Bombyx mori: one gene and its partner. The protein of the gene in region 1 binds, or shares a complex with, the protein of each later gene. Links are inferred from orthologs where the notes say so. Each region holds a gene or a part of one and is shown on either strand. Other genes may lie near its edges.

What was found.
Region 2: exuperantia (region 1) and ATP-dependent RNA helicase me31b share a complex: the UniProt entries of both Drosophila melanogaster proteins name them as parts of the osk RNP complex. The link is inferred for Bombyx mori from reciprocal best matches to the Drosophila melanogaster genes exu and me31B.

Annotation. Positions count from the first base shown.
Region 1 is NC_085134.1:3,230,553-3,233,291, reverse strand, and holds the end of exuperantia, read right to left. Parts: intron 2,570-2,739; coding exon 2,467-2,569; intron 1,364-2,466; coding exon 1,308-1,363; 3' UTR 524-1,307; downstream 1-523. UniProt on the Drosophila melanogaster protein: Ensures the proper localization of the mRNA of the bicoid gene to the anterior regions of the oocyte thus playing a fundamental role in the establishment of the polarity of the oocyte. May bind the bcd mRNA.
Region 2 is NC_085118.1:10,825,114-10,829,388, forward strand, and holds the start of ATP-dependent RNA helicase me31b, read left to right. Parts: upstream 1-1,475; 5' UTR 1,476-1,636; exon of another isoform or gene 1,637-1,831; intron 1,832-2,033; 5' UTR 2,034-2,191; coding exon 2,192-2,256; intron 2,257-2,349; coding exon 2,350-2,431; intron 2,432-3,247; coding exon 3,248-3,454; intron 3,455-3,626; coding exon 3,627-3,798; intron 3,799-3,876; coding exon 3,877-4,027; intron 4,028-4,166; coding exon 4,167-4,275. UniProt on the Drosophila melanogaster protein: ATP-dependent RNA helicase which is a core component of a variety of ribonucleoprotein complexes (RNPs) that play critical roles in translational repression and mRNA decapping during embryogenesis, oogenesis, neurogenesis and neurotransmission.

The DNA of each region.
Region 1 (2,739 bases):
CTACATACATTTAACCAATTATACAAAAGAGTCGACTATTATCAAAGCCGGCAATGTGACTTTTGGACAATTATTGGTAAATCAGAAAAACGAATTGATTTCGTATTCCATTGGCAGTCACAAACTCTTCTGAACGACATCTTAGATAAATAACAGGTTAAGTTAATACTTTATTTAATGCAGGTTTTGAACCGTATTTTTTGAAGGAGACGATTATATTCAAATCAGTCTGTATTGCCATATCAATAACATTTTTTTGTCCAAATGCACAGATTGCCACCTTTGATAATAGACGACTCAAATACCAATGGCACTATTTACGGTATAATGGTTTTGAAAATTATTTAAAACTGGAAAATCTTTGAGATTAGACCAGTCTCTTGTTTGTTTGTATTATGGGGGATCAATCACTCAAGCCAGAATGTATGAATATGTACTTCATGGAGAAATCGGACGTTACAAACTTACTTATGCAAACGTGCAAATAAAAATTAAGAGAGGTTTTCAAAATAATGCACAACAATTTTATAGACTTACATATTTATTAGAGATCTGAACAAAATAAGAAATTAAATTATATGTACAGTCTATGTTAAAAACTAACTAAAATTAACAGTTAAAAAGGTACACACTGCTTTATTACTCAGTGGTAAGAAACTAATATTTCCTCTATGGTAGTTTGAAAGAAAAACAGTCAGCAAAATGTTACCAGCGATTAGCGTAAAAAACAAAAAGAAGGAAAAGGTGTAAATAAAAAAATATAATCTTTTTTTAAATACATTTCGGATTTCGAATATCAGTCAATCCGTTGCTGTGATTGCACATTTTATTATTAATACATAATAAAAAAATAAATAAACAGGCGTTATTAAGAGCCCGAAATAAATATTGCTCCCTCTAAGCCTTTTTTAATTTAAAAAACCTTTTTTCAAACTACATGTTACAAGTAACATTAAATATATAAAAAACTGTATAATGCAAAAAACAACATACAGTCACTTAACTGTTTACACCAAAAAATATTATGACATACAAATATCTTATGACAAATGAGTTGCTAAGGCACTCAACTACATTATTATTTATATCTATATATAAATATTAAAAAACGCGAAAAGCCAAGGGATCAGTGTGAAAATTACGATTTAGTGGGTTTTTTTTTTTCATTAATCTCGTATAGACGACATGCATTATAAAAATGTTTCAATTCCAAAAAATGATACTTATGCTAAAATAACATACTGTTTATTATGCGAAAACGTTTTTAATTTGAGTCTTCGTACGCGCATGTTGCGATGAATCAAACGTTAGTTGGCCGCGATCGGCTCTTGTACTTTTAAACTGTTATCTCCCGCCGCTATATCTGAAAACAATAATATAACATTACTAGCTGACCTGGCAAACGTTGTTTTGCCATATATGTATAAGATTTCTAGAGTACTTCTAGTGTAGAAAAAAAAACTAACTTATTGTAAGTGTGTAAGGATGTGGTAAATGAGTGTAAAGGCATGTAGCGCTGTGAACGATGAGGGAATATAAAAATAATAAAACCTTATTAACCACATAATGCCTCATTATAACAAAAAAAAAATTGTCCAAAAAACAAAAAAAAATGTTAGAGGAGGACAACCCTTAACACTTAGGGGTATGAAAAATAGATAGTAGCCGATTTTCAGACCTACTGAACATGCATATAAAACTTCGTAAAAATCGGTCAAACCGTTTCAGAGGAGTATGGTAACTAACATAGTGATACGAGAATTTTATATATAAGATTAAAAGTCATATAAAATTAAAATAATTACATAATTAACATTGTTTTTGACAACTACCGGATGTAAAGGACATGGAGGAGAATAGCCTCATCCAGAAGTATGCCAAAGACCGGCCTAAGTGGAGGAGTTAAGTCTTTTTTTTTTTTTGTCCTTGTAGGCAGTCGAGCATACGACCCACTTGATGGTGAGTGGTTACCGTCGCCCATAGACTTCAGCAATGCCAGGGGCAGAGCCAAGCCACAGCCTACCGTAAAAGCAGACCCTGGCACTAGACGGGAAAAATGTTAGGAAGAAGAATAAGTACTGATTCCCAAATCCCAAAAAGTCTGATTTTAACAAGGTTTCAAATAAGATAGACGTTGTTGGTGTGATGAAGCCATTTTACATTAATTTATGAAAGTTTCGACATAGTATTACTGGTGGTAGGACCTCTTGTGTGTCCGCACGGGTAGGTACCACCACAGCCTATGTCTGCCGTGAGGCAGTAATGCGTTTCGGTTTGAAGAGTGGGGCAGCCGTTGTAACTATACTGAGACCTTAGAACTTATATCTCAAGGTGGGTGGCGCATTTACGCTGTAGATATCTATGGGCTGCACTAACCACTTAACAACCAGGTGGGCCGTGAGCTCATCCACTCATTTAATGAAAATAAAGATATTTTTTCAAATGATTCAAATGATTACTACATACCATTAGTTTTGTTGGGCGAGTTTTGCGATGAACTATTCTGCGAATCACTGGTGCTCCCTTCAGCGTCTCCACTTGTATTGTTAGTATTGGCGGTCGATCGAGGCTGCGGAAAAAGTTGCACTATAAAATATTTTCAGGCAAAGCTTGATATACCTTACTTAAAGTTTAGTTATAAAATAACTAGCTTTTGCTCGAGCCTTCGTCCGCGTGGAATAGTTCACAAATAATGCTTTATCTTAGAACAAATTTGGTTAGCATAAAAAACGTTACAGT
Region 2 (4,275 bases), on another chromosome or scaffold:
TGCTATTTATATAAGCAATTGTACGTATAGAACAATATGTCGTGTCCCTACTATATAGGTCTATGTAACTTAACCACTATCTTAACATACTTTTGTACTATGTTATGACAATTGACAATAAGACATTGACAGTGACAGTAGTTTTATTTTTCCAAATGAAAAGGCAAATGTGTCATACCATACAACCTAATTCTTTATATATATATTTTAATAGATGAAAAATGATAATATGAAGTGAAATAAAATGAAGTTAATTAATTAATATGAAACATGAAATGAAATGAAATGAAATGAGATGAGATGAGATGATATGGGATGAAATATACATCTCAGTAAAATGGTGGCCATTTACTGAAACTATTTCAGTGGACTTTTTGGAGGATCCCGAGAAGTTATGTCCATAGGCTTTGTTTTATTTTCCTACATTTGTGCACTTTCACAAATACTAAGCAGTTAGTAAACCACCGTTATTACGCATTTAAGCCCGAAGAAACACTAAATAGGCAAAATAAAGCAAATCCCGCAAGTTCACTCAAAGGCGGAAACAGTGCTTTTTGTGTTTGAGAGTAAAATGTTTGGGTGGGTTTACTACCGGTGGGTTTTACTAGTGGTAGGTAGTTCTTGTGAGTCTACACGGGTAGGTATCACTACCTTGCTTATTTCTGTCGTGAAAAAGCTATGCGTTTCGGTTTGAAAGGTGGAGCAGTCATACTGTAATAAATGAGACCTTAGGACTCATATCTTGAGGTAGGTGGTTATATGTACGTTGACTATGTCTATGGGCTCCGGTAATCACTTAACACAAGGTGGGCCGTGAGTTCGTCCTCCCACCAAAGTAAAAAAAATGTAATCATTCTAGAATGAAATGAAATGGAGTAAAATGAGGTATGATTGAAAAATAGCGTGGCTATTGTGTAAAATGAAAAATAACCTCTCAGTGAAATGGCAGGAATTTATTGAGAGTTCAATGGACTTTTTAAAGTGAAAGACTGTTTACACTTTTACAAATGTTGAATTGTAATATGTCATTATTAAACGCTTAAACACGACGAAGCACTAAATTATTAAACCTCGAGATTCTAGTCTTGAGTTTACCTTCCATGTCAAAAGGCATAACTTTTCGTGCCAGAAATAAGTTGGGTAGTACTTAGGACACCTGTGAGCTTATAATACGCCATACCACCAGTGAATTGAAAACTGTTTTATTTAGTCAATTTATAATTTTGCTGTTGTACTAGTGGAATAAAAACATAATAATGCCTGAGAAAGTGCATCAGCATTGAAATAGCTGGTTATGTTAAAAAAATTAATTAGATTTTTTACGAATTCCTATAATTTGATGATTATACTGAAGACATAATTTCTAATTTCATCGCACTTTTCCATTTAAAGCTTAGAAACACTCTAAAGAAAGTCTTGTGTAGGTAACGTTCTTTTTACTAGGTGGACACAATAGATAGACCAGAAAAATGTTTATGGTTTTAAATATTTTCAAGAAATCAAGGGAGCCAACATAGGCAACAAGCAACATACAGAAATAGAAAATAAAAGTGTATTATTGTCTTTGGTTGAGTAAACTCTTGTGATGTCGTCGTTGAGTATCGAGTGTCGTCACCTTTTTTAAATTTTTATCTAGGTAATTAACAACAATATTTTATAACAGTATTAATCTCAAAGTTGGAAGTGTTTTAGTTTATTAATTTTTAGGTCTTTTCCTCACAAACAAAGTAAAATTAAACGAAGCGATGGCGGCCATATTAAAAAAACATAACTGAGTTCAGTTTACAATCTTTTGTTATCTTTTCAATCTCTCCTTTTCATTTAACTTTTGGTAAACATTAATTTATTATAATACTTCTATATACTGAGCTCATTATTAGTTCTAATAACTTATCGAGTAATCACTTCATAACGGGATTTATTTACTTTGTCATATAGCTTGTTGACGCGTCTCGTAATCTTCGTTTTCAAAAGACCGAAACGGGTTTTCTAATATACTTATCTAATATAAAAATATGTTCCTCTTGTTTCAGCTATTCTGAAATACTTGGTGAACGTGATAAACTGACTAATATACGTGTCTAAAAGTGATTTAGAGAATTTATTTAGTGTTGGACTTGGACAAATAATAATTAGTGTGATTATAAGTTTCTAATTTTAGTCGTCCCTAGCTAGGGATAAATTTGGCAAAATGATGACCGAAAATAGAATTAGTTCAAGTAATCACGTCGGAAATAGTATCAGTCAAACTAAAGGGTAAGTATAAATTTAATAAAATGTCCTTTGTCATGCTAACTGCATGTAGAATCACACGAAGCAATATTCTAATCATGTAAACGCATTTTTCAGAGAGGTCGACAAAAGCATCGACGACGTTGGTTGGAAATCAAAATTAAAAATACCCCCAAAAGACAGAAGAATAAAGACTAGTGTAAGTTGGCTTAGTTACTAGAAATTACGGCCCACATACAATAGTCATTGGAATTTAGACAGTCAAAATATAACAATTTAAAAACAACTTTAGAACATTTTGTGGTATTCTACAATTGCATTATTGTTATACACGAATAATCCAGTTATACACTGAAAATTTAAATTTCCAACAAGCTTGCTTGTTTGCTTTTAAACAACAAACAAAAATAAAATTTATGGGGAAGTATAGTTCTTGAATTGTTTTATTCTGTTAAAGTAAAAGAAAAAGTATTTGGTTGATTTAATTATAAGTGATTTTTGTCTTTACAATCTCCAATCTAATACATTGTTGACAAACAGAATTCAATTCTGTTTAAATAGCTCCAATGCTACATTAATTACTACTTTAAACATTTTGTATTTATTTAGGATTTTTTTTATCATAACATGTCTATAATGCAGTTGTAATAAAATTAATCCTATTGTAAAAGAATTTTGTGTCTTTAAGCTACACTATTAATGAATTAGGTGAGTTCTATTGTCTGCCTTAATAGTAATTAATATCAAAGAGTACCTCAGTTCTTGATGCCCACATAGTAATGATGGTATTCCTTATTGATTTTTCAAAACACTTAGCAGCATATATAGTTAGCTTTATTTAATTATGCAATCTCATAAATCCAATGGTATATTCTGATTATTGGAAATATAAAATATTGATTTTTCATTTTTTAGATCATATTTGTGATTGATCATTCTTATAGATCATCATCATACATCATTTTAAGAATATATTTAGATTATAGTGGACATAATAATCAAATTTCGTTTCTAGGATGTCACAGATACTAGAGGCAATGAGTTTGAAGAGTTTTGTTTGAAGCGAGAATTGTTGATGGGTATTTTTGAAAAGGGATGGGAGAAGCCATCTCCTATTCAAGAGGCCTCAATTCCTATTGCCCTAAGTGGAAAAGATGTACTTGCAAGAGCTAAGAATGGAACTGGTAAAACTGGTGCTTATTGTATTCCAGTTTTGGAACAGGTAATTTGTTATATGTAACAATAGTTTTCATTTTTATGTTTTTAATGTATGATGAAATATTTGGATTCCCCTTCACTTTTTATAAGTGAGACAAAACAGAACTGATTAAAAAAAACTATGTTTTAAAACAAGACTGTGTAATTATTGAAATTACAAGAGTGAATTGTTTTAGGTTGATCCTAAAAAGGATACTATACAAGCTTTAATTGTTGTACCAACTAGAGAGTTGGCACTCCAAACATCACAGATTTGTATTGAACTGGCAAAACACACAGACATTCGTGTAATGGTTACTACAGGAGGCACAAACCTTCGAGATGATATAATGCGTATTTATCAAAATGGTAAATATAGATACACAAATTGAAATGGAAATAATTTCAAAATAGAAAATATTCATGGAATATACACTTTATTTCTAGTACAAGTGATTATTGCCACACCTGGGCGTATGATTGATCTCATGGATAAGCAGGTGGCCAAAATGGATCAATGCCGGATGTTAGTTCTTGATGAAGCAGACAAACTTCTTTCACAAGACTTTAAGGGCATGCTGGATATGGTTATTTCAAGGTTAGCGTTTGTTAGTTTCATGTGTAACAAATTCAGTGACCAAGAAATGCTAAATAGTGCTTCTCAAAATAAATGTCATGTGCCATCTCATAATTTCAAATACAGTGTGTGAATTAAAAACATTATTGATGGATTTTAGATTACCTAAGGAACGCCAAATCTTGCTGTTTTCTGCAACTTTCCCTCTGAGTGTAAAACAATTTATGGAAAAGCATTTGAAAGAACCTTATGAAATAAATCTCATGGAA